Callithrix jacchus: one gene and its partners. The protein of the gene in region 2 purifies or fractionates together with the protein of the main gene of each other region. This does not show direct contact. Links are inferred from orthologs where the notes say so. Each region holds a gene or a part of one and is shown on either strand. Other genes may lie near its edges.

What was found.
Region 1: the proteins of GRB2 (region 2) and PTPN6 purify together in Homo sapiens (affinity purification with western blotting; 4 studies listed by BioGRID and IntAct, with this or other methods). This does not show direct contact. The link is inferred for Callithrix jacchus from reciprocal best matches to the Homo sapiens genes GRB2 and PTPN6.
Region 3: the proteins of GRB2 (region 2) and INPPL1 purify together in Homo sapiens (affinity purification with mass spectrometry; 3 studies listed by BioGRID and IntAct, with this or other methods). This does not show direct contact. The link is inferred for Callithrix jacchus from reciprocal best matches to the Homo sapiens genes GRB2 and INPPL1.
Region 4: the proteins of GRB2 (region 2) and DOCK1 purify together in Homo sapiens (affinity purification with mass spectrometry; 5 studies listed by BioGRID and IntAct, counting the BioPlex papers as one, with this or other methods). This does not show direct contact. The link is inferred for Callithrix jacchus from reciprocal best matches to the Homo sapiens genes GRB2 and DOCK1.
Region 5: the proteins of GRB2 (region 2) and PIK3AP1 purify together in Homo sapiens (co-immunoprecipitation; 4 studies listed by BioGRID and IntAct, counting the BioPlex papers as one, with this or other methods). This does not show direct contact. The link is inferred for Callithrix jacchus from reciprocal best matches to the Homo sapiens genes GRB2 and PIK3AP1.
Region 6: the proteins of GRB2 (region 2) and PIK3C2B purify together in Homo sapiens (affinity purification with mass spectrometry; 5 studies listed by BioGRID and IntAct, counting the BioPlex papers as one, with this or other methods). This does not show direct contact. The link is inferred for Callithrix jacchus from reciprocal best matches to the Homo sapiens genes GRB2 and PIK3C2B.
Region 7: the proteins of GRB2 (region 2) and SYK purify together in Homo sapiens (affinity purification with western blotting; 3 studies listed by BioGRID, with this or other methods). This does not show direct contact. The link is inferred for Callithrix jacchus from reciprocal best matches to the Homo sapiens genes GRB2 and SYK.

What each region holds. Positions count from the first base shown.
Region 1 is NC_133510.1:21,218,675-21,222,174, forward strand, and holds part of PTPN6 (tyrosine-protein phosphatase non-receptor type 6), read left to right. Parts: intron 1-554; exon of another isoform or gene 555-711; coding exon of another isoform or gene 712-719; intron 720-807; coding exon 808-930; intron 931-1,094; exon of another isoform or gene 1,095-1,165; coding exon 1,166-1,360; intron 1,361-3,500. UniProt on the Homo sapiens protein: Tyrosine phosphatase enzyme that plays important roles in controlling immune signaling pathways and fundamental physiological processes such as hematopoiesis.
Region 2 is NC_133506.1:131,303,794-131,307,724, reverse strand, and holds the start of GRB2 (growth factor receptor-bound protein 2), read left to right. Parts: upstream 1-1,131; 5' UTR 1,132-1,345; intron 1,346-3,931. UniProt on the Homo sapiens protein: Non-enzymatic adapter protein that plays a pivotal role in precisely regulated signaling cascades from cell surface receptors to cellular responses, including signaling transduction and gene expression.
Region 3 is NC_133511.1:68,736,320-68,739,819, reverse strand, and holds part of INPPL1 (phosphatidylinositol 3,4,5-trisphosphate 5-phosphatase 2), read left to right. Parts: intron 1-1,313; coding exon 1,314-1,377; intron 1,378-1,470; coding exon 1,471-1,621; intron 1,622-1,844; coding exon 1,845-1,965; intron 1,966-2,187; coding exon 2,188-2,328; intron 2,329-2,561; coding exon 2,562-2,655; intron 2,656-2,763; coding exon 2,764-2,853; intron 2,854-3,028; coding exon 3,029-3,124; intron 3,125-3,224; coding exon 3,225-3,375; intron 3,376-3,465; coding exon 3,466-3,500. UniProt on the Homo sapiens protein: Phosphatidylinositol (PtdIns) phosphatase that specifically hydrolyzes the 5-phosphate of phosphatidylinositol-3,4,5-trisphosphate (PtdIns(3,4,5)P3) to produce PtdIns(3,4)P2, thereby negatively regulating the PI3K (phosphoinositide 3-kinase) pathways.
Region 4 is NC_133513.1:120,762,035-120,765,534, forward strand, and holds part of DOCK1 (dedicator of cytokinesis protein 1), read left to right. Parts: intron 1-378; coding exon 379-532; intron 533-3,500. UniProt on the Homo sapiens protein: Involved in cytoskeletal rearrangements required for phagocytosis of apoptotic cells and cell motility. Along with DOCK1, mediates CRK/CRKL regulation of epithelial and endothelial cell spreading and migration on type IV collagen.
Region 5 is NC_133513.1:89,501,165-89,504,664, reverse strand, and holds part of PIK3AP1 (phosphoinositide 3-kinase adapter protein 1), read left to right. Parts: intron 1-1,307; coding exon 1,308-1,450; intron 1,451-1,578; coding exon 1,579-1,711; intron 1,712-3,500. UniProt on the Homo sapiens protein: Signaling adapter that contributes to B-cell development by linking B-cell receptor (BCR) signaling to the phosphoinositide 3-kinase (PI3K)-Akt signaling pathway.
Region 6 is NC_133520.1:31,754,113-31,757,612, reverse strand, and holds part of PIK3C2B (phosphatidylinositol 4-phosphate 3-kinase C2 domain-containing subunit beta), read left to right. Parts: intron 1-2,217; 5' UTR 2,218-2,304; coding exon 2,305-3,237; intron 3,238-3,500. UniProt on the Homo sapiens protein: Phosphorylates PtdIns and PtdIns4P with a preference for PtdIns. Does not phosphorylate PtdIns(4,5)P2. May be involved in EGF and PDGF signaling cascades.
Region 7 is NC_133502.1:74,892,307-74,896,403, forward strand, and holds the start of SYK (tyrosine-protein kinase SYK), read right to left. Parts: upstream 2,801-4,097; 5' UTR 2,680-2,800; intron 1-2,679. UniProt on the Homo sapiens protein: Non-receptor tyrosine kinase which mediates signal transduction downstream of a variety of transmembrane receptors including classical immunoreceptors like the B-cell receptor (BCR).

The DNA of each region.
Region 1 (3,500 bases), on a different chromosome or scaffold from region 2:
ATCCTGGCGCTGCAGCTGACTCACTGATGGACTTGGGCAATGCCTTGAACTCCCTGGGCCTCAGGTTTCTTGTCTGTCAAATGAGGATAAACAGACCCCCTGTTTCATAGGGCTGTGGTGAGAAACTATTCAGACGAGGCATATGAGCACCATTATAGCACAGCGCCTGGCATCCAGCAGGACTCACTCGATGACAGCTGTCACTGCCATCATTGTTATTAGTGTGGGCCAGGGAGGACTGTGTAAAAGCAGCAGGTGGAGGAGGAAGAGGTGCCGTGTGACCGTGTAGGTTCACATACGTGAAGTATGAGCTGGGCTTTTAGTGTGCAAGGCACATATGTGTCCTTACTGCATGTGGTGTCACATACGTGCATGGCCATGCTCCTGAGCCTTTGATTGCAGACATGTGGGAAGTGGGCCCCGTCCCCACCCCCAGTGCCACCATACTCTGCTTCTCTTCCCTTGCTCTACTCTAAAATGAGAAGTACAAGTGAGTTCCCCCAAGGGGTCGGCCGCGCCTCTTCCTGTCCCCGCCCTGCCGGCTGCCCTAGGCCAGTGGAGTGGCAGCTCCAGAACTGGGACCACCGGGGCTGGTGAGGCAGCTTGGCACTGGGAGCCACGTTTGAGGCTTAGTCCACGAGTTCTCTGCCTGCCCAGACTAGCTGCGTCGCCTCATTCCCTGCGCCCCCTCCCTCTCCGGAAGCCCCCAGGATGGTGAGGTAAGAGCCTGCCATCCTCAGTAGGCAGGAGGCAAGGGTGCCCAGTGCCCACAGGACCCCTCCTCACTGCCCTGCTTGGGCCACTCAGGTGGTTTCACCGAGACCTCAGTGGGCTGGATGCAGAGACCCTGCTCAAGGGCCGAGGTGTCCATGGCAGCTTCCTGGCTCGGCCCAGTCGCAAGAACCAGGGTGACTTCTCGCTCTCTGTCAGGTTGGTGGCCCTCCCTAGCATTTGGCCGCTCTCGTGCCGTCCAGGCCCTGAACCACACATTCCTGGTTCTCCGCGGCAATGCCAACTCCCCAGCCCCCACGCCTGGTCTGTGTCCTCATCCCCCAACCCCCGTGCTCCCCATCCCTGTCTGTGCCCCCACCCAGGACCTCTGCCGATCCCTGCCCTCCTGCCTCTACTCCTGCACCTACTGGCCTCACCACCTGGTGCCCTGCAGGGTGGGGGATCAGGTGACCCATATTCGGATCCAGAACTCAGGGGATTTCTACGACCTGTATGGAGGGGAGAAGTTCGCCACGCTGACGGAGCTGGTGGAGTACTACACTCAGCAGCAGGGCGTCCTGCAGGATCGTGACGGCACCATCATCCACCTCAAGTACCCGCTGAACTGCTCCGACCCCACTAGTGAGAGGTGAGGGTTCCGCACCCTGCCTCTCCCAAGCTGGGGCAAGCCGGCTCCCAACCCCAATGGCCCGGGAGGCAGGGAGCCTGGCACCCAGCACTGCCTGCCCTCCCTCCCCTTCCCTTCCTGCACCAGCTGGGGCTCTCAGCGTCCTTCCTCCTGCAGCCTGGTGTCTCAGAGCTTAACCTACCACCCTTTCCACCTAACCCCGAGGAAGCCAGAGAAGGCTGCCTTGCCCTACTCCAGGGGCCCTGGCCACTGCAACCCAGGTCCCACTAGAGACAGGGAGGCTACCGCTGGCGGCTGGCATGTCATGTGGGCCAGCTCTGTTGTTAGAAAGTTCTTCCTCCTGTGGAAGTGAGAGTGCCCTCCTCCGTCTTCCCCTCACCCATGGCCAGCACGCGTTAGGAGTTGACACTAGGAATGAGGATGGGGACGAACGCTTGCCAGGACACTTGACGCCTTATCTCAGCCACCCAGCAGCCGTGGAGTGTTCACATGTGGAAAGGGGCTCACACTGTCCTGAGCACAAACACTCCAGGCATTTCCTTCCTGTCCCCTCTGCTCAAAGGTGTGGTCCCCAGAGCTGGGCTGGCCACTGTCCCTGTGGGCTCCCAAAGGCATGGGCAGGGGCCAGGGGGCTCTGAAATCTCCTCAGGACACCCTGGCTCCTTTCAGTGCCAGATCCTCTTAGAGTAAAGGGCAGTGGAATAACACAAGGGGTTTTCACATGGACCCCTGGGGCCAAGCCCACCTGCCCTTGCCCTGTGCTGGAGGATGGGTTGTTAAAGCGCCAGCTTGCAGCCTTTCTGGGGTTCTGGCCTCCAAACTGCCATCAGTATTTTTGGTGAAGTCACTGACTGAATCTTAGAGCTGAATGAGGTTGCAGAATTGCTCTGTGGCCTGCCTGGGAGACCTCTTTCCCTGGTCAGCTTCCTTCACGGCCTTCTTCCTCTCCATGAGCCTCATGTGGCTGGCTCCGTGTCTGCCCCCTGCCCTTCCTCTTCCCCACCGTGACACTTGGGGGGCCTCTGAAGCTCATGTCCTTTCTCCTTGCCTCAGGCCAGGAGGAAGAGGATGGGCTGACCAGTGCCTAGAGGGGACGAGAGGAGCAGGGCCCCAGGAGGCCCCTGCAGAGGAGGCTGAGACCCGCTTTCAAAGAGAAGAGAGAAGAGAGACAAGGAAGGGAGGGCAGTGCTGGGGTGGGAAGTTAAGAGGTTAAGACCAGGGAAGCCATACTGGAGGCCTTTTCAGGTAACCCATCCCAGGAGCCAGTGTCACCCCTGAGCCTGGAGTGTGAGAGGTTCTTTCTCTGAGGTTCTGCCTTGTCCCTGCCTTGTCCCCTGCTGTGTCTGTGCTGCCTCCTTCTCTGTGGGAATTTGCATCTATCCCTCGGTGGCTCTGTGCTTCCTGTGGTCAGCCTGACATTTGCATGGAGACTTCCTCATCCTGGGGCCTAAGGAAAGGGGCTCAGCCTCCTACCCGCTGCCTGGGGTCCTAGCCTGTCCCCAAGTGGTGGGCTGAAGCAGCCCAGTAAGATCTGGAGGTTCTGCGGGGGGTGGGGGGGTGTCTGTTGGCTGGAGTCACCTCTGGGCAGGGATAAGATGGGTTGGGACAGACTGGTCCTCCCCTCCTTCCCCCGATCCCTGCGGTTGGAAAATTTGCCCCTCCGCCACCCCTGGGCTGAGGAAACCTCACAACCTCACTTCTCACTCTCTCCCCAGAAGGAGTTTTGTGTTTTTTCCATCACGTGGTTTCCTGTGGGGCTGGGCATTGTGGGGCTACAGTTTCCTCCTGGGAAAGGGGTGCGCTTCAGGGAAAGGGCTCAGTTCTGCTTTCTGCCCCGACAGCCCCTTTGCATCCCTTTGAACCCCTTTGAACCCTGGGCTCCCCTTCAGTGACATCATCCAGGGCACCCCCAGAGCCCCCACACCACTTTTTCCCCAGTGGGGTCGTTTTTCCCTGCCTCCCTGGCGGCGTGCACCCCATCCGCCTTCCTTGTGACTTGGGTCTCTCTGTCCGTCTCCCGCCTGAGATGTGGCCTCGATCTGCGTTTCTTTGTCTCAGGTCTCTGCCTGGCACAGCCCTAAGCATCACGGAGACTCTTCCTTAGTTTCTCTCCTTTAAATATTTTTGTATTGACAAAACA
Region 2 (3,931 bases):
GGATGGTCTCGATCTCTTGACCTCATGATCCACCCGCCTCGGCCTCCCAAAGTGCCGGGATTACAGGCTTGAGCCACCGTGCCCGGCTCATTTTCTGTGTTTCAATGGGCTTGTTTCCTCTGTACAATCAGATGCTTGGTTATTCTCATCTCAACGCTATTTTTTTGGCTTCCAGAAGACACATTAACACTAGGTGTGTTCTGTTCTATCCTTTAATTGGAAAGAGCTTTGATAACTGAAAAACAAGAATTATTTACCGAAGCCTCATCTTCTGCCACTCCCCCATACTCACCGGCCTCATACAGGAATTGAACTACTTAGCACTGCACAGCACACGACTTTCACGCCTCCGTTCCGCTGTACTTAGCCTCTGTACTTACGTGCCATTCCCTTTCCCTGAAATGCCCTTACTCTGGCTTCTCTGCCTGGCAAACTCCTACTCATCCCCCAAGACTCAGCTTAGACATCGCCGCATCACCTCTGTAAAGGCTCTTTTGCAATGGGCAGAGTAGCCATTCTTCTTCCATCTTTTTAGCTTTCTCAGCAAACTCCAAATAACAGTACTTATGGCATTATTTGTTTATTTTTCTCTGCTTCCCTAGACCGTAAATTCCTTAAGGACCAGGATTTCTGTTCTATATCCAGCACAGTGTTCAGCCTATATTAGGCACATAATTAAATAAATGAGTAAACAAACCCACCAATCATTCAACATTGCAGAGTTTGTACGGATTCTCAAATATTTCAAGACCTGGTCTTCTGTTTGGAGTGCTTCAGGCTGGAAACTCTCTTCCTCCCCCCAGCCCCCATCCATATCCAATTGCCTTGGTTTGGTAGAGGAGAAAAGAAAGTGATTAGACGGGGTAAGAATTTATTCCTTCAGGACTAAGCTGTTATTTACCCGCTCTGGTACCGAGAGGGTTACGGCGACCCAGGGGCGGAGCCGTGACGAGGCCACCTGCTGCGGGCGGTCTGGCGCATGCGCCCTGGGGCCTAGCTAGTCACTACCTGCCGGAGCCCGGCCCAGGAGGAGCGCTTGCGCTTTGGGCGTTTTCCGCCGGGGGAAGTCTCGCGGGGGCGGGGCGGGGCGGGGCCTCGTGGAGAAGTTCTCGCGGGACACCCACGGCGAGCGGAAGCGAGGCGGCTCTGCTGCTTCGGCGACCGGGCGGCGGCGGCGGCGGCGGCGGCGGCTGTGGCTGAGGCTGTGTCTGTGTCTGTTTCTGTGTCTGTGACCGTGACGGCGGCGGGAGCAAGCGCCGCCCTCGCGGAGCAGCCTCGGGGTCGGCGGCCGCTCTCAGCGTTGAGGTGGGTCAGGCCCGACGCGGAGCGGACTAGCTGCGCCACGGTGAGTGCGGGCGGCTGCGCTCGGCGCCGCTCCTGTGTCTCTTCCTCTCCGCTCTGCGACGGGAGTGGGCCCTGGGGGAACCGGGACCCCGGCCCTTGGGGTCGGGTCGGGGCGGCGAAGCTCGGGACGCGGAGTGGAATGCCCAAGGCTCTGGACTCTGCGTTTCCCCTTTTGGGGCGCTTCCTTCCTGGGGAACGTCCTCCTCCGGCTCTCGGCTGTCTGTGCAGTGTCCGGGAGCCCGGGGGTAGAAGTCGGGGCTCCCTCGTGAAGTCCCCTGCCTTCGTCGGAAGGGTTTGCACGAAAGGGGCCTGGGAAGCCCGGAAGGGCAAAACCCCGACTGAGTCAGTCCGCCCGATCCCGGCGGCGGGGGACTTGGTGTGGGCTGCAGCTGTGGTGATTGATGCGCCTCCGACCTGCATGACAACCACGTCACCATCTCTTGGCGTCTTTGGGCTTAATTTTGTGCGGGAATCCACGGTGGGGTAGAACGTTCATCTCCCCGGGGGAGATGTCTTTATTCTGAGACTTAAAAAAAAATTATTTGAAAAATTAAGCAGCAGCAGGTTGGACTGCACCGAGGAAACATTGCGGCGAGAGCGGGCGCTGGTAATTTTCATTTGCAGCGCGCCCTCTCTGTGATTGTAAACCACATATGAGTTATGGCTTGTTTGGAAAGTTTTTCAAGCCTGGCTTCAAAGGCTATGAAAGTGCAGTTTGCAGAGGACTGAAGTGCATTTGAGGTGTGTCTCTTCTTGATGCTGTTGACTTTCAGAAATGTCAGACACATGAGAGAAATCAGCATTAGTCCCTGGCTTTCTTAACCCCTCTTTCACTCAGTACTTCTCCAGTTATTTCCTTACCTCTCTATCTACTTCTGTCCATTCCACTAGGGACAAGAAGTGCTTGTGTAATGCAAGTCATTTGCCCCTTCCTTCCCCCACCCCCCTCTTTTTTTTTTCTAATCTACTTCCCCTTCCTCCTTGGTAGTCCCCACTCTGGCGTAATTTTTCGAGGTTTCTTCCCTTTCGCACTGTTAGTTTTCTCTGATTTCAAGATTCCGTCCTTTTTCTCGGGAAGAGATCCTCTTTCCTGCTTTGGTGCCTTTACTTTTGCGCTTTCCCCTGCGTTCGCTAGTCAGCCAGAAGGGTTGCTAGAGAGCCATTGGAGGCTGAGGTTCCCCCGCTGAGAAGGGGGTGGGGGGCTCAAAAGATTGAATTCAGCCGGGTGCGGTGGCTCCCGCCTGTAATCCCAGCACTTTGTCAAGAGATCCAGACCATCCTGGCCAACATGGTGAAATCCCGCCTGTACTAAAAATAAAAAAATTACCTGGGTGTGGTGGCGCGCGCCTGTAGTCCCAGCTACTCGAGGCTGAGGCAGAAAAATCGCTTCAACCCGGGAGACGGAGATTGCAGTGAGCTCAGATCGCACCACTGCACTTCAGCCTGGCGACAGAGCGAGACTCCGTCTCAAAAAAAAGATTGAATTAATCCCTAAGAATTCAGTCCTGCCACTAGGTTACAAGTGTGGTTTGTTTGTTGTTTTGTGTTTTAGTTTTTTAAGATTATGCTTTTGTACCTATTTATGCTTTCTTCCAGTATGTCTTTATAATAGTAAGGAATATTGGGTCAGCTCAGGGCTTATGTGACTTTTTGACTTTTAGTGGGGGGTGTTAATGTTAAAAAGTGAAGGTCAACTATAAGTCTATATTAGGTTAAAATAGTCTGAAAAATGTAAGAGGCTAGAACTGATTTAGACCATCGAATTAGTTGAAGCCTGCGCGTTGTAGTAGTACTAATTTATTCTTTGTTAGGCTTTTAGTTAAAAATCAGGGATCTTTTTTCTGCATCTATTATAACTGGCCTTCGTTGTTGTTTTTGACAAAGAAATCTCTATTTGCTCCTTCCCAAGTTCAAAATGTTCCCAATCTCAAGATTTAAAAGAGTTAATTCTTATGATCAGCTATCTCCTAGTATGTATGTATGTATGTATGTATTTATTTATTTATCTATCTGAGACGAGTCTCACTCTTGCACAGGCTGGAGTGAGTGGTGCTGAGGATCTCGGTTCACTGCAGCCTCCACCTCCTGGGTTCAAGCACTCTTGTGCCTCACCTTCCCAAGTAGCTAGGATTACAGGCTCTCACCACCACACCTGGCTAATTTTTGTATTTGGTGGAGACGGGGTTTCACCATGTTGGCCGCGCTGGTCTCGAACTCCTAACCTCAAGTGATCTGCCTGCCTCAGCCTCCCTAAGTACTGAAATTACAGGTGTGAGCTCCTGTGCGGAGCCTAAACTCAGACATTTAAATGTTTGAGGCACTTAACTTGTCAGCAAGTTATTCCGATTTGAGAGGTTTGCTGGGTTTTAAGTACTACCAGTTGCTGGTACTTAGAGATTCTTTTCAGTAATTCCTGTTATGTTGCATATTGTGCATTGGAGTTCTAATTGTTGCATAGAACAGAAGAGCAAAGGATTTTGGAGAAAGGAAGTAATACAGAATAGAGTCACCATGCTCTCCTGAGAGAAATTAATTCTTAACTGCTTAATTCAGAGGAAGTCTCCGCCATTACCAAGTGGCTTTTGAG
Region 3 (3,500 bases), on a different chromosome or scaffold from region 2:
TGAATGGGGTGAGGGGGTCTCACTGTGAGTGGGGGATTCAGGTTTGCCAGCTGACTGGCTCCTCCCTGAATTTCAAGAGCCTGGGAGTAAGGATCAAATGTCGGCAATCAGATGAGGGCAATATCTTAGATTTGCTTAATACACACACACTTGCTTACCTGTATACATTGCAGGTGCTCATGGATAACATGCAAGACACGCCCCTGCCCCAGCAGGCACAGGCAATCTGACCAGTAGGCCAGGATACCGCTCTGGCTTCTGCCATGGTTTAAAATCCCAACTTGACCTTTCACTTACCCTGTGACCTTAGGCAAATCACTTTCCCTCTTTGGGCCTGTTTCCTTAGCTGGAAAATGGGGATAATAATGTCTACTTAAAAATGTGAGAATTAAATAAGATCTATAGGACACTGGGTACCCAGCCTGTCACAGATAGGATTCAGTCAATGGTATGCTATTGCAATAAACACAGACAGTGTTTATAACAGTCTACCAAGGAACACCCGGTCACAGGCAGACACCCAGCATAAGCAGACAGGAGAGCCCCTGAGGGGGCCATGGTGTTGGGGGGTCCTTACCTCCCTCCTGCCCAACACGGAGAGTGACTCCTCCTGGGTAACTCCTGGGGGGAAACACGCCCTGAGGTGTGGAGGCAGAGGATCTTCCCCCACTGAGTATGCACCTGGCTCAGCTGTCACCTGTTCTGCTGTGGCTGCCGTCTGTCAGCACCCCTCTTGCCCCTCCTTGGCTTGGGGCTCCTAGAGGCCCAGGTCTCCCATGGGGGCCTTCTTCGGTGGGAAAGCCTAGGGTGATGCCCCCACACTCCTTGACAGAACTACCCTAGACATACCTGACTCCGGCAGAGCCAGACAGCAGCATAAACACAGGAGGCACACACATATTAGCATGTTACCTGTGTGTACAACCACAGGTTGTACAGGCTAACCAGGCTTCTGAAGACTCACTCTGGCGGGGGGCCCAGACTGGTACCACAGCCCAGAGGGGCTGTTTAGACAGCTGTGGAGGCTACAAAAGAGCTGCCTGTTGCTTCCTGGGCCCTGCCCTGTGGTGGGTGTGGAGTCTGTAGGTCTGGTGGGGAGAGGGGGGTGTTCTGGTCATTCCTGCCCTTATTGGCAACACTAGGAGGGTGGAAGTGGACCAGCCCATCATTAACCCTGTGCAGTCTGGGCAGGTGGGTTTAGGGAAACCAAGCTGAGGGCATTGGGATGCTGAGCTTGCTGGCAGGAAGAAGGGGTGCTTTGGGTCTTAGACCCCAGCCTGGGGGTGACAGATTCTGGCCCTGCCTTGGTGTAGGTATCAGAAGCATGTGCACACATATCGAATTCTGCCTGATGGAGAAGATTTCTTGGCTGTGCAGGTAGGACCTTGGACCCCTGACCCCTGACCTTGATCCAGCTTAGGGTTTGGGACCAGCTGGCTGACCCTTCCTCCCACCTTTGCTGGCCCACAGACCTCGCAGGGTGTGCCTGTGCGCCGCTTCCAGACCCTGGGTGAGCTCATTGGCCTGTATGCCCAGCCTAACCAGGGCCTTGTATGTGCCCTGCTGCTTCCTGTAGAGGGGGAGCGGGAACCGGACCCTCCAGATGACCGGGATGCCTCAGGTACTAATGTGTGGGTCCCCTCCCTGCCCCTGTCCCTTGGTTCTCCCTGCCTCTTCCCATCCCCGATTCTCAACCCTACCTCTCCTGTAGCCCCCTTGCCTGTGGTCATGATGCTGGCGCCCTTTATCCCTCTTTCCATAAAGTCACTTTACAGCTGCATTATGCCTCCTACTCCACCGTGTGTGGGAGGCCCAGACAGCTGCCCACTGACCCCTGCCCACAGATGGGGAGGACGAGAAGCCCCCGCTGCCCCCGCGCTCTGGCTCTACCAGCATTTCTGCCCACACTGGGCCCAGCAGTCCCCTGCCAACCCCTGAGACTCCCACAACTCCAGCTGCTGAGAGGTGAGACCCCTACCCTATCCACTGAGCAGGAGATCCTTTCTCCTCTGAGAACTGTTTTCCTACTAAAGGTGGAGAGGCCTTCTAAGCCCTCACCAAGGACCCCCACACCACCCTGATTCATCCCGCCCTGGTTGCCACAAATACTGTCTCTTCTAGGGATGGGGCAGGGGTGCTGGGACAGGACAGCAGGACCTCCACTGACTTCTTTACCCCTTCCCAAAGTGCTCCCAATGGGCTAAGCACCGTCTCACACGAGTACCTGAAAGGCAGCTACGGGCTGGACCTGGAGGCTGTGCGGGGTGGAGCCAGCCACTTGCCCCACCTCACCCGTACCCTCGCCACCTCATGTCGGAGGCTACACAGGTATCTGGGACATCCAGCCCCATGCATTACCCTTACTTCTGACCTGTGCTTGCCTGCTCCCTGGCTGTATAGGTGCCCTAACCTCTGACCCTGAACAGTCAACTAGCCACTGCTTGCTGACCTTCCTCACCTGGTACCCTTTATCCTTGTGGTGAGGTGGAGGCTACACCCAGCGCCCCCTTCCCTGTACTTAGGTCTGGGTGGGAATTCTTCTGACCTGATGTCTCCCCTAGTGAGGTGGACAAGGTCCTGTCAGGCCTGGAGATCCTGTCCAAGGTGTTTGACCAGCAGAGCTCCCCCATGGTGACGCGCCTTTTGCAGCAGCAGGTGGGATTGTAGGGAGACCCCTGGGAGGTGGGCTCATGTTCTGGAGCTGCCTGGGAGGCTCTGCTTAGGTGACTGTTATACAAGCCTAGTTCTTTCTCCCCCTACCAGAACCTGCCACAGACAGGGGAGCAGGAACTAGAGAGCCTGGTGCTGAAGCTGTCAGTGCTAAAGGACTTCCTGTCAGGCATCCAGAAGAAGGTGGCATGACCTCTGACCCTTGTCTGCCGATTCACTGGCCACTGTCATTAGCTTAGCACTGATCTCAACCTTGAGTCTACAACTTAACATTGGCCCCAGCATCAGTTGTGTCCCTCCCTGCCCCAGGCTTCAGTCAGGGTGTCCCTTGACTTCACGCTGCCCTTGTTCCCTCCAGGCCCTGAAGGCCCTACAGGACATGAGCTCCACAGCACCCCCGGCTCTGCAGCCATCCACACGTAAGGCCAAGACCATCCCTGTGCAGGCCTTTGAGGTACATGGCAGTGGGGCCTCATGGGGCAAAGGGCGGTTGGAGGGGACTGGGGTGCTGCCTGCCCCAAGGTCTTGTCAGCAGCTTCCCACCTGGCTTGCAGGTGAAACTAGATGTGACCCTGGGTGACCTGACCAAGATCGGGAAGTCGCAGAAGTTCACGCTGAGCGTGGATGTGGAGGGTGGGCGGCTAGTGCTGCTGCGGAGACAGCGGGACTCCCAGGAGGACTGGACCACTTTCACGCATGACCGCAGTGAGCCAGGGCCAGACCTGGGAGGGGTGAGCAGGGGGGAGCCCCCGGCCTAGGGGCACAGGCCCATGTGACCTGTCCTCCATGCCCTAGTCCGCCAGCTCATTAAGTCCCAGCGTGTCCAGAAC
Region 4 (3,500 bases), on a different chromosome or scaffold from region 2:
CCCCTTGCCCGGATTCCCTCCTGATCAGCGTGTAGCTAGCTCCATTCTAACAGCTTAGCTGCAGAGGGAGCAATTACCAGGTGTCTTATGGGCCATTTCAGGGTACTGCCTCCTGCCTGGGTATTCTCTTCCTCTCTGCCACACCTAGCATGTGTGTTTCGGGGAAGTGTCTGGGGCATGAGATTTTCCAGAGTTTGCTCCCCCTGGGCCCCCTACGGGCCCAGCGTAAGGGCTATGCCTTAGCTTGATCATTTGCAAAGACTGTATTTCCAGATAATGTCATATTCTAAGGTAATGGGGGTCAGGACTTCAATATAGGAATGTAGGTGGAAACGCACTCAGCACCCTAACTGTGCTCTTTCTGTCCTTTCAATGTAGATAAGTCCCCTGCGGCCCCAGAGACCGAAGAGCCAGGTGATCAACATCATTGGAAGTGAAAGGCGCTTCTCGGTGTCCCCCTCATCACCGTCCTCCCAGCACACACCCCCTCCGGTTACACCAAGGGCCAAGCTGAGCTTCAGTGTGCAGTCGAGTAAGTGGAACCTCCCCTCATACGTATCGTGCTGTTGCTTTGTGCGTCCCTTGACTGAAGGCTCTCAGGTTAGAAGCATCTCCTCACTCCCCTTTCAGCAGAGGGAGGGAGTTTGGATAAGCTCCTGGCTTCCTGGGAACAGACTGTAGAGTCTGGACTTCTGCACATCAGGCCAAAGCCCAGAGCCAAGGTCTCCAGCGCTGGAGGGGCAGAAAGTGCAGGGTCTGTCCCAGGATCCGTGGGGAGGGAAACTGGGACACATGGGACCACTCCACTTCCTATTCCAGGACACAGCTGCAGGAGGCCGTGGGCCTGCCTGTGTCTAGGACAGTGCACTGGAGAAGCACTCCAGGCAGTTTACAACAGCCAAGGAGCATAGCTTAATTTTCTAGTTTTGACCAATTTTTAAATTACCCAAGAAGTTGCCACAAAACTGGTGGCTCAAAACAGTAGAAATTTGTTCTCTGAAGGTTTTGGAGGCCAGAACTCTGAAATCAAGGAGGTGGCAAGTTGGTTACCTCTGTTGGCTCCAAGGGAGAGCCTGTCCCAGGCCTCTCTCCAGCTTCTGGTGGCTCCTAGCAGTCCCTAGCCTTCCTTGGCTGTGGCCACACCACTCCCCTCTCTGCCCGTCTTCACGTGGCCTTCTTCTCTGTGCCCTCTCCTCTTATAAGGACACCAGTCATTGGATATAGGGTCCACTGCAAATCCAGGATGATCTCACCTTGAGATCCTTAGCTTATTACATCTGCAAAGACCCTAAGTCCAAGTAAGGTTACATTCTGAGGTTCTGGGTGGCCCTAAGAGGTCCACGTTTTGAAGACTCTACTCAACCTACTCTAAGTGGTAACCAGCTTTTCACCACCAAATTCAGAGCCAGCAGAGAGGAGAAATCTTGGCAGGGAGAAGGTGCTGGGGGTGAGGGTGACAGCAAAACCAGGGAGCCTACTCTCCTTCCTATGGCACAGGAAGGGGTCAAAGGCAGGAGAGCTCTGTGCCCTGTGGCAAGGGTTGTGCAAGGCAGTGAGAGATTGTCCTCTGCACCTGATTTTCCTCCTGCTTAAAGGGGAGCAATCATGCTTCTGGAGACTGTCAGGTGGTAGGGAGTCTGGCTTCAAGCATGGATGCGTGAGTTTAATTGAGTAGGCCGAGAGCTTTCTGGGCACTGGGTCTGTCTCTGGAGGGTGCATCCTCACATCCTTGCAGTATTACTACATGATTTTTCTAAAAATGTGTTTAAAGTCTATTTTAATATTTAAAACCATAAGGCACCATCACTGCTGTAGAAAACAAATTGCTGGTTCCTCCAAAGTTCCACGTGGAATAACCATACGGTAATATGAACCAGCAGTCCTACTCCTCAACCTGCACTGCAGAGAACTAAACACAGGGACTCAAACAGATACTTCATATTCATAGCAGTATTTTTCACAAGAGCCAATAAGTGAACACAACCCAAATGTCCATCGACTGATGGCCAGATTAACAAAACGTACATCCAAAGAAATGTCCATGCAATAGAATATTCCTCAGCTGGAGAAAGGAGTGAGGTTCTGACATGTGCTACAGTATGGACGAAACTCACCGTGATCCCGAGTGACACAGATCATTCACAGAGGGACAAATCTTATGTGACTCCACCTCAGTGACATATCTAAGGCAAGTTCACAGACACAGAAAGTAAGAGGACAGGTCAGGTGCCGTAGCTCAAGCCTGTAATCCCAGCACTTTGGGAGCCGAGGCAGGCAGATCACCTGAGGTCAGGAGTTCCAGACAAGCCAGTCAACATGGTAAAACCCCATCTCTACTAAAAATACAAAAATTAGCTGGGCATGGTGGCGTGTGCCTGTAATCCCAGCTATTCAGGAGGCTGAGACAGGAGAATCACTTGAACCTGGGAGGAGGAGGTTGCAGTGAGCTGAGATCACACCACTGCACTCCAGCCTGGGTGACAGAGCAAGACTCCATCTCAAAAAAAAAAAAAAAAAGAAAGTACAAGTAGAGCAAACCTCCATGTGGAAAGAAGGAAGGGAGGGAGGAAGAGAGAGAGAGAAAGATTGAGAGAGAGAGAGGAGGGTACCAGGGGCTAGAGGGAGGGAGGAGTGGAGAGTTAGTGCTTAAGGGGTACGGACTTCCAGTTTGGGGCAATGGAAATGTTTCAGAAATACATCATGGTGATGGTTGTCCGCTGTGTTGATGTGATTAAGGCCACCAAATTGTCCCCTAAAAAATGGCTAAAATGGCAAATTTTATGTCATGGGTATCTTACCACAATAACAACAAACAATTCGGCACCAGTCATGAAGACAGTCACTCACCGAAGCCTTCTAACTCCCCTCGGTCCCATGGCAGAGCTTTCTCAGAAACTGACACTGTGTTCTTCCTAGGAGACATTTTCCTAATAAAGGATTTTTCATCAGATGCATCCTTGGGGAAAACTCCAAAAGAGACTCATCAGTAAAAACGTCAATTTTTCTCTCTTTTAATATGAAAGAAAACAAATTGTTTTTAAGAGTCTCAACAAGGGTTGAGAAAATATCCTGCCTTGGTGATTATCCCTCCGTTTGAAAACCGCTATATTTTCCAGTTTACTTTAAAAATCAATTGTACATCCCCTTGGCTTATTTAAAGCCACAGCCACAGTGACTGCTACGGCTAATAAAATCATTTCATGCAATCATGGATTTTCCTGTGGAAAGAGATTGGAAGTTGGGTGTCTGGTTGCAGTGTTAGACTTTGCTTAGCGAATCTTTCCAGGTGATAACTGCAGGGGTGATTGCAGAGGCCCAGCTGCAGAGATGGTCCTGTGGCACCCAGCTGTTTCACTTCCACCAAGGCAGGGGGCCCGAGGAGGGATCAAAGAAGCCAGGGTCAACACCACCTTCTACAGTGGCTCAATGCCGTGCTTTACCCTCCCATTTTAGTTGTCACGTGATACTTGCTATTCTCTTTCTAGAACACTGCCATTAGG
Region 5 (3,500 bases), on a different chromosome or scaffold from region 2:
CAGGTATTACCATTTTAAATGTGTTTGCTAATTTGATACTTTTTGGAGAGTAGTCCATCGTTTTCATATGCACTTCTTTGATTATTAGTGTGGGTGAATATTTTTCCATGGTCTCTGTTGTCGCATTTCCTCTTTTGTGAATCTCTGTGGTTGGTGTTATTTTTAATTTTCTCTTTCCCCCTCAAAACCCCTTCCTGTGGTATAGCATCCCGCCCCAGGGACAGCACGTCGTCATGACAGCAGCTCATGACTTGCAGTGAACCAATTCAGCCCGCCCAATGTGGCAGAGACACAGTTTCACCTCCCATGATTTTCCCTCCTTCTGTGACCACTGGCCTTTGTGTAAAGTGCCTTAAACCCGAATTTTCTTCCAGTTCATTGAGGTACTGGGCCCTACACTAGTGAGTAAAATGATGAAAATTTTTTGAAAATTAAGTTGCAAACCCAATGAAAATTGCTGTGGCCCACAGCCCTAACATGTGCTGGTTTACTCACCTGCTACCTCCACCTGTTCCCTCATCCCACCCCAGCTCACCTACACCTGTTCCCTCACCCTCACCCCAGCTCACCTCCACCCTTGCCCTCATCCCCCCCAGCCCACCTCCACCCTATCCCTCACTCCCACCCCAGCTCACCTCCACCCTTTCCCTCACTCCCACCCCAGCTCACCTCCATCCTTTCCCTCACTCCCACCCCAGCTCACCTCCACCCTTTCCCTCACTCCCACCCCAGCTCATCTCCACCCTATCCCTCACTCCCACCCCAGCTCACCTCCACCCTTTCCCTCACTCCCACCCCAGCTCACCTCCACCCTTTCCCTCACTCCCACCCCAGCTCACCTCCACCCTATCCCTCACTCCCACCCCAGCTCACCTCCACCCTTGCCCTCATCCCCCCCAGCCCACCTCCACCCTATCCCTCACTCCCACCCCAGCTCACCTCCACCCTTTCCCTCACTCCCACCCCAGCTCACCTCCATCCTTTCCCTCACTCCCACCCCAGCTCACCTCCACCCTTTCCCTCACTCCCACCCCAGCTCACCTCCACCCTATCCCTCACTCCCACCCCAGCTCACCTCCACCCTTTCCCTCACTCCCACCCCAGCTCACCTCCACCCTTTCCCTCACTCCCACCCCAGCTCACCTCCACCCTTTCCCTCACTGCAGCCCCAGCTCACTTCCAAGATCTTTCTTCCAGGCCCCAGTTAGTGTCCTTGCCACTCAGGTGGAGTGTGTATATCCACAGCCACTTTTCCCTGGATGCTTTTTTTTCCTGGGAATTTTGATATTATCTTTTCTTCTGTTCAGACCTTTCATCTGGGAATGTTTCTCTGAAGATATATTCTGGGGACTTAGTGGTGTGTGAAACTGTTATCAGCTATTATACTGACATGGAAGAAATTGGGAATTTATTGTCCAATGCTGCGAATCCTGTGGAATTCATGTGTCAGGTAAGGATACTGCAACGAAACCTGAGCTTTCTGGGCATGTAATTTCTGCTCAAGGCCTATCAGTCTTGAATCTGTGGAATGGGAGAGAACTGGATTTCACATCTGACCATCTTCACTTTTGTATTCAGGCCTTTAAAATTGTGCCCTACAACACAGAGACCCTTGATAAACTGCTAACCGAATCCCTGAAGAACAATATCCCCGCAAGTGGACTGCACCTCTTCGGAATCAACCAGCTGGAAGAGGAAGACATGATGACAAGTAAGTCGACAGTCAAACCTCAGGAAATCAACATCCTGTCAACATATGCATTTACTTTCCGCCGGGACTCTTCTGGGTCCCTTCTCCATAACCTCTCCTTGGATAAGGACTCATTCTTCACTGGGTAGCCTCATTCTTCTAAATTACAAATCTGAATACTTTACTCCCTTCTGAAAACACATGTGGTGGCTTTCGGAGGAGTAGGCAATGAGCGATTTTAAATCAGTTCGGCGTAAGCCAGTGGAGCTTGTTATGATTATTCCTTACAGGGATAGTATGAGAAACGGGTAATCTATATACTCTGTCAAGGGAGGTTCCCACTTGCCTTCTAGATAAAATCTGAACTGCTTAATCTGTAAACAAGCCCTCATCTCTCTCCACACCCCTTCTTGGCTGTTCTGTGCTTTGCTCTGCATGAGGTATGAGCTTTTTTCACCTGTCTCTTGCCACAGACTCATGGAAAGACAGTTCTTTCTCCCTGACTTGGTTGCTGTTCACCTGGCTAACTTCTCTCACTTCCTGTAGCAGCTTAGGTAGCACTTCCTCTGGAAGGCCTTCTCCAAACCTCCAGTAGGTTCCATTTACCTGCTTTGCACCCCCCGACCACCAGCACGTTGGGTGCCACTGTCCTAGCACTCCTCAGCTGTGTCTGTCTTCTTTGCTAGGCTGTCCGCTCAGTGAGGGCTGGAACTGTTCCTGGGTGGCTGGCTTGCTATAGGCTCTAAACAAATACTCGTTGAATGAAGGAGGAGCAGCCTCTTGTGCACATGGGACATGCTGGGAGCTGGGAGAGTCACACCCCTTGCATGGGGATGGTGGTGGGTGTTCTAGACAGGTTGCCCATTGTAGTGTCTCTGTGGACACCACCCTTCCTGCATGCCATGGTTGCACTGCACAAATGGGACCCAAGTCTCTGGTTACCCTCTGCCTACATTCCATCCCTCTGTAGCCTAAGAGAACCAAAAGAATGAGGTTACATGACCTTCAAGGCCTCCTCCTGGGGGATTCTCTTTCATATTGCCTCCCCCCATTTTCCTACCATGGAGTGTTCTTGTGGCACTTTTGTAGTCTGACTATTCTCTATTAAGCTTGGAGCTTAGGGGAAAGTATTTCATAGCCTGACAATCTAGGATCATGGGAATATTTTCAGACCCTTCATCCCAAGAATCGTATTTGGAATGGAAGTCTGGGTTTGTCATGTTAAAAAATATACATTTGTATATAAATATTATATATCTATACACTTCTTGGGCTTAAAAATAAACATTTATGAAAAAAGAGATTTGTCCCCAGCTCCACAGACCCAAGCATGTCCATTTTTTTGGTTGAGTTCAACTTGCTATATTCAGATAACAGTAGGTGGAGGGGTCCGTGGGGACCAACACCTCTCTAGAGCACTTTGCTTCCCACCAATTAGAGTGAACTGACGTCCTGGTGGGGTTTGTGTGCATTAAGACCAATGTTCAGAATCTCTCCTAAATAAGAATCCCACTGCATACCATCTTATTCACCCTCCCAGGTCCTTTTGAGATAGTCTGGAAACATTTTCTGGTTGAGACCTAAAGGCTGAAGAAAGTCTAAGGAACATACCCAGGATTACTAGGTGTACTTATCATGAAATTAGGAATAAGGGCTAAGAGGATTAACTTCTTCCTTTTAATCAGCATGAAACAATAGCTTTAAAATACATTCTCAGAATTTGGCAGAGAAGTTCAAAACATGATTCCTATTGTACTTTGTGGCTGCTAGTTAAGCCTTTAAAAAAAAGTCAGCACATTTTGAATTAGTA
Region 6 (3,500 bases), on a different chromosome or scaffold from region 2:
GCTCCAGGCAGCTGGGTTCTGAACATCTCCATCTGCTTATGCTACTCCTTTGAATTTCAAATAGCAAGACTCATACCCACTGTGGATAAAAAGTGATCTGGAAGGAGCTGTGGAAAGGCATAGAAATTAAGTTAACAGAGAGCTGCTTTAGATACCCTGAGGCTGGGCTCAGACTGTTCCATCCATGGTGAACTAATTCCTAAGTACAATACTTGTCAGATTCACTGAGCCAGAGCCCTTCGGACCAGGGTTCTGTGCCTATACGTGATAGATGTACCAGGGTCCCGGAAGTACCCCAGGGTAAGGGATAACTTTGTCCTAAGTTATTTTGAATCTCAGCAACTTGCCACACAAGAATCTATCTGGGCCGGGCGCAGTGGCTCACACCTGTAATCAATCCCAGCACTTTGGGAGGCCGAGGTGGGTGGATCACGAGGTCAAGAGATCAAGAGATCAAAACCATCCTGGTCAACATGGTGAAACCCTGTCTCTACTAAAAATACAAAAAATTAGCTGGGCATGGTGGCGCGTGCCTGTAATCCCAGCTACTCAGGAGGCTGAGGCAGGAGAATTGCCTGATCCCAGGAGGATCACTTGCAATGATCCCTGGAGGAACATTGCACTCCAGCCTGGGTAACAAGAGCAAAACTCCATATAAAAAAAAAAAGAACCTATCTGAACCTTTTTCCTATTGATGTTTTCAACATTCTAATCATGAGGTGTAATGTTTCATGTTTGTTCTGTTGGGTGACACAGTACAAAAGAATGAACAATTTTTGATAATTTTAGGGAATTGTGACCGTCTTGGGCTGCTGGTGCTAAGAGTCGGAAGTGACTACTTCATGTTGGTCTCCCCCAACCTCATCACAAACACGCATTCATAGATCCAGAGTTCTCAGCTAGGGCTACACGTTAGAATCTCCTGGGGAGTTTTTAAAAAAATGCCATTACCCTACCACAGAACAATTAAATCACACTCTCTTGAGAGTACTTGAGCTTCAGTACTTTTTAAAATTCCCCCAGTGTTGTGCTAATGTTGCAGCTGGGGTTGAGAACCACTGGGCCAGACTGACCTTATCATTACAAGCATTTACTGAGTGCTTCTCAACTTGGCTCATGTCGTGGCTTCTAGAGAAAAGAGTACCAGCACTGAAGAAAGTGGAGGCACTAGCTCGGAGATCCTATGTGACTTCCTGAGGGCCGAGGGGAAGCAATATTTTGGCACACCTGTAAGACATCAGGTAGCCGAGTCTCACCTGTTGGCAAGCTTTCTTTTGTTGTATATATTGGTGTATTTTGGGAGGACCCTAGTGCTGAGTAATTACAAGGTCCGTTTAACAGGGCTCTGTGGTACTTTCCATTTATAGTTTTATCGAGGTGTAATTGACATGTAATAAAATATACATATTGAAAGCGTTTGGTAAGTTTTGCCATGTGAGTATACCAATGAAGGCATGACCACAATCAAGATAATGAACATATCACCTCCAAAGCTTCCCTTGTGTCCCTTTGTAACCCATTCTTCTTTCCACTCCGTCCCCAAGATACCACTGATCTGCTTTCTGTCATTATAGATGAGCTTGCATTTTCCAGAATTTTATATAAATGGAATCATACATACTCATACTCTTGTCCGGCATCTTTTACAGGCATGGTGGCTCATGCCTGTAATCCCAGCACTTTGGGAGGCCGAGGCAGTGGATCACTTGCGGTCAAGAGTTTGAAACAAATCTGGCTAACATGGCAAAACCCCGTCTCTACTAAAAATACAAAAAGTAGCCGGGTATGGTGGTGGGTGCCTGTATTCCCAGCTACTTGGGAGGGTGAGGCAGGAGAATGACTTGAACCTGAGAGGTTGAGGTTGCAGTGAGCTGAGATCGCGCCATTGCACTCCAGCCTGGGCGACAGAGCAAGACTCAGTCTCAAACAAACAAACAAAAAAAGGTGCCTCTCTCTCTCTTCTTGGGGCACAAATGACAGAGGTGAGTATAGGGATTCGGGCACAGAGATGAGACATGTAGAGATGAATGAATGGGTAGCTGGATATAATAAATAGGGAACGTTGTCTTGGTATTCCTTTTTTCCTCCATCTTTCTGTATTTTCGGTTTGTTGTAGACACCAAAGAAGCAGGCATTGGCCCAGATTATGTCACCTAAAGTGGATTAATAGTAAATCTCTCTTTATGACTGACAGATATTTTTACCCCTCACCTGCAGGTGCCCAGACACCATGTCACAACCCTCCAGAACTGAGGTTGGCAGGAAGTAGAGGCTTCTTTGTCTCCTGTGTTCCCCACCCTCACCATGTCTTCGACTCAGGGCAATGGGGAACACTGGAAGTCCCTGGAGTCTGTGGGCATCAGCCGCAAAGAGCTGGCGATGGCCGAAGCCCTGCAGATGGAGTATGATGCCCTGTCCCGGCTCCGGCATGACAAGAAGGAGAGCAGAGCCAAGCAGAACGCAGACCCCTCTCTCATCAGCTGGGATGAGCCTGGGGTAGACTTCTATAGCAAGTCAGCAGGAAGGCGGACTGACCTCAAGCTGTTACGCGGTCTCTCTGGCTCTGATCCTACCCTCAACTACAACTCACTCTCCCCACAGGAAGGGCTGCCCAACCACTCTACCTCCCAAGGGCCCCAGCCTGGCCCAGATCCCTGGCCCAAAGGCTCCCTGTCTGGAGACTATCTCTACATTTTTGATGGTTCAGATGGGGGAGTCTCTTTGTCCCCAGGACCAGGAGACATAGAGGGCTCTTGCAAGAAACTATCCCCACCTCCTCTGCCTCCCCGAACCTCTATCTGGGATACCCCTCCCCTGCCTCCCAGAAAGGGGTCCCCGTCATCCTCTAAGATCTCCCAGCCCAATGACATCAACACTTTCTCTTCGGTCGAACAATTGCCAGGAAAACTGCTACGGAATCAGATCCTGGAAGAGGAAGAGGTGCCAGGAGGTGGGGGTCAGGGCCACCTGCTGGGGTCTGTGGACTATGATGGCATCAACGATGCAATTACAAGGCTCAACTTGAAGTCAACCTATGATGCGGAGATGTTGCGGGATGCCACCAGGGGCTGGAAGGAGGGCCGAGGGACCCTGGACTTCAGCAAAGACACCTCTGGAAAACCTGTGGCCCGGAGCAAGACTATGCCCCCTCAGGTGCCCCCCCGCACCTATGCCTCCCGCTATGCCAACCGAAAGAATGGGACACCTGGCAAGAACCGCCGGATTTCTGCAGCTCCGGTGAGGACCTTCATGTGTTTCTCCTGTCTTCTTTCTCCATGTCCTTTAGAAACAGGGACTAGTCTCTCTGCTGTTCCACATCCTACTCTGCCAAGTCCTTACCCTTTTAGGCTTCTCCTACCCTCTTTTTCTGCCACTGGGACCCTGGCGCTGGTGGGGAAGGTCCAAGGGAGGCTTGATTAGGGGTGGATACCAGTAGAGAAAGGTCTTCTTTTCATGGCCAGTTTTCACATATCTTGGCCAAAACGGCCTTTCTGGGGGCA
Region 7 (4,097 bases), on a different chromosome or scaffold from region 2:
TAGAAAAGTCAGGGGGTAGTTGGAAAAAATGTCTATACATCTATACAGGGAAAGTTGAGAAAGTAAAAATTAGCCATCACTTAGGTGTAGACAACTAACACAAACCCAGCTGGTTGCAAAGTTAACAGGAAATAAAATTTCTTCCATGGACAGACTGCAGCTGTAAAGGGTGACGGTAACCCCTTTTGTGAGTAACTTCTGCTCTCTTTCTCTAAAATCGTAGCCTGTCAGAAACTCCGCTGTTCAAAATTATATTACAAAGGAAACATCCGCTCTTACTTGAAGAACCTTTATTTTGATCGATATGATTGAAAATTCAGTAAAATCTTGCTATTTTAGACTCCCTTAAGGGAGAGGAACTGCCCTTCTAATTACTGGAAAGTGTGAGGTATTGAGCAATATGAATGCACTTTGCTTTCAAAAGCAAACCATAGTTCAGTGGAGTCTAATACAGACTGAGTCCATCATCTCCAGCTCTAAAAAACTCTGAAAAACAAGCCTTTTTTTTCTTTTTGGTAAATTTTAGAGAAGCTCTTGTAGTGATACCACCTGCTCTAAACAGACACACAGCTATTTATAGTCTTCATTTTTCCACTTACTGAGAATATGCATGTTGTTAAATGTGAAAGTGCAGAAATATTAATGCGTGGAATTACAGGATTCTCTCCAGACTATACTGGAATGGCAAGTAATCAGCAGCATCAACATGTGTGTTTACCTCCCTAAATTCTGAGCGATGTCTTTCTCAATTCTAAAATTTAGTTCTATATTTTAATTCCAAATTCGGAAAAAGCTTGAATTCCAAAATACACTTTGGCACAAGCATGCTGGATAATAACCATGGGCAAACAATGTGCTAAATAAGTGAAGTTCTACTAAGAAGACATCAGTTTAAAAAACAGAATGATTAGACCTGCATTTAGAATATATATAGGGGCCTAACAAAGATCAAGGCAAATCATTTCTCAAGTGCAAATCTAGCAATAAAATAATGTTTCTACCAATTTCATCTCTCAGGAAAGGTAAAGACCTAAAGTATACACCCCATCTTTATCCTAGCTTAAAGCATTCTGGTTATTAAGACTATTCTAAAATCCTATTGTATATTTCACTTCAAATACAGAGGCTTTTAAAAAAAGTCTCCCCACGATACCTCAGTAGAAAAAAAATCTCTTTTTTCCTAGTGTTCAAATCCAAGGAAGAAGAGTAAGAGGATAAGACACAAATCAAGCAATTTGATTATAATCTCTCATTCAAATACACTTCAAAGTGCACTTCAAATACAGGGGGTAAGACAAATAAGTTTCTATTTTAATGCAAGATTTTTCTAAGTACATTAAAAGTGCCATTCGGATAGAACAAAGTGATTTGATAAAATAATTTTCACTGACAAAGATTTCTCACTTTAAACACTTAATAATTTACATGTATTTAAACCTTTTAGCTCAAATGTAATTCTATCTATGCACTGCTCAGACTTTCATTGGGGAGAAGGACATCAATGTATTTAGTTGCATTCAATCAAAATGCTGCCTGTGTAAAGGCAATGAATTTGTCCCTACTAAGACGAAGTCAGATTCTAGAATCAATTCAATTCCTTCCAGGAATTCTCAGGGATTAAAAGATTCCTTTTTTATTTTTTAATATGAAGAATCAGATATGGCATATCTCCAACTCCTTGTTTTGCTACAGACTGCAATGCTTTGAAGGTTAAAAAAGAAGAAGACGAAAAAGAAAAACTTCCAGTCAACAGTTCTACTTGAGTTCAACTGAATCTTCGGTAAGTCAGGCAAAACTCATAAAATATTTTGCAACAGCGTTTCCAACGTAAAAAAAGATTCTAACTCCCACTTCTCCAATTGTCTTTCTAGTCCCTGAACGTTGAAAAAACCAAAGAAGCTATCGCATTTGTATAGTTTTCAGGTAGGCTTAAGGTTTTGGAGCTGTATTGCCAAAAACAAACAAAAACAAAACCAAAAAACAAAGAATCACCTTACCTCTTAACTCAAGTTTACATTTTACTACGTAAAACTTTCTTGCTCTCCAGGTTCATTGGCTAAGTAAATTACTTGACAATGAAAATGTATTCACCAGAGTAATTATGCTAAATTTTAGTAGTGGTTCAGAAAGTTTGGTGTTTGAATGCAACTGCTGTTTCTTTCTGCAGTAAAACATTTGTCTTAGCTTATAAGACATCTGGACATTTCTACATTGAGTCACTTTGATCAATACTGCGGCATTTCCCCCATGGATTGGTGTAAATGGACAAAGGACACTGTTCTAGCTCCAAGATCAAATTCCTCGCTCTGTGCCTCATCCCAGCCTCGCGTCTCCCCCGGCGGGGCCGCGACCGCACTTTCCGCGCTCTAGTCCAGGGTCACTTTCCGCAGGTTCAGACCTCTGTCCCCTCCGCCCAGGCCCGGGCCCCTCTCCCGGCGCAGCTTCTGGATCCCGAGAGCCGGCAGATTCAGGAGCGAGGCTGGCGGACCCCACCGTATTTATTCACGTAGTTTCAGCACTTTTCCCTCCGCAGTGAAGGCCCTGCGGGCACCTTCCCGGTGTGACTGGGCACACGAGAAAGGCAGAACAAGAAAGGGCATGAACGCGGCGCGTCATCCCCCGAAACCCCCTCCGCTCACCAGAAAATTCTCACCGGGGAGGCGACGCGGCCACACCTACCTGCGCCAGGTGAGGCAAGGACTGGCGCTTGGGCGCAGCCGGGGCTCAGCCGGGGCGCAGCGCGGGGCCGCCAGCTCCTCCTCGCTCTTCTGCCGCCCGGGGTGGCCTCAGCCGCCCGGCTGCGGCGCTTCCTCATTTTGGGCAACTTCCTTAACGCGCCCGGGCAGGCGGCCCGCACTTCCTCCCGATGTCGCGCCCCGCCGCCTGGCCCGCCCTGCTGACCGCGCCCGTGCGCCCGGAGCTGGGCGGGCACGGGCTGGAGCGCTGGGCCGGCCCGCGGGATCCGCCTAGGCGGCTGCACCGGCAGAGGAATCCAGGTGCGGCGCGCCGCTCTCCTCCCGCCGGGTAAGGGCCCTTCGCAGGCAGGGAAGGTGGGACTGCCCGCGACCCGAACCACATCGGTTGCCCTCATCCCCGCCAGCGCGGTAACTTCTCTTACTGCCCAGGACCCAGGAACACTCAGCGGCCCTTTCCATTTGCTGTGCAGCAAATGGGGTAGAGACTCCACTGCAGGGCATAGTCCCTGGAGGGGGTATCTGGGTCACCAAGCCAACAGGCTGCAAGCCACCGTGCTGGAGCACTCAGGAGGCCGGGGCAGTGCTGAGGGGCCCGGTAGGTGAACAACAGACTTCACGGAGCACTAGTGGGCAATGGAGCGCGCTGCTTCTGAGGGCTTATTACTAAAGACTGCTTTCTTTGTAACACGACGGCTCTGACGTCTACAGCCAAATAAATTAAACGTAATCCTTTCCTATAGTCCTAAAAACGGTGTTGACTTATCTGCCTGATACACTTCTCTCAATTATCCTCCTTTTCCTGTTGGACATTCCTCTTTAAAATGTTCCCACAAAAACGGTATCCAGACCTTCTTGATAAAACCGATTGGCAGCGTCTGTTTTAAAAAGCTTTACCCTGAGCCAAAATGCGAGAAGCAAAATAAAATACGTATAATGTGCTGGATTGTAATTGCCATGGAGAAATTATAAAGATGGGACTGTTTATACTTAATGGAGCCCTCAGCCTTTTCTGTTTCCAGCGTTATTAGATTTTAATTCATTTTTGCAATTAATTTTTTAAACCTGTTAAAACTTCAACTGAATTACATTTAAATCAGTTTAATTGAGAAATGAATGATTTGGGAATGGGGTAGCTTCCAGAATCAAAGCAGATTCAGAGACTCCAGGGATGCCTCATGGTCAGAACAAATTCACAGACAAAAAAAGAGGAAGATATGGACAGAAATCAGAAGTGAAGTAGAGAAACAGCTGAATTGGTTACAAGTTGGCGTTTGCCTTGTTTGAATACTTAGCAGTTTATGAGTGTTTGAAGTATGGCCGCTGGGATTGGCCAAGACTCAGCTGTTGTTACAGGCCTCATACTCCTAAGTTAGATTTTCAGTCTTGCCTGCCTGTTAAAGC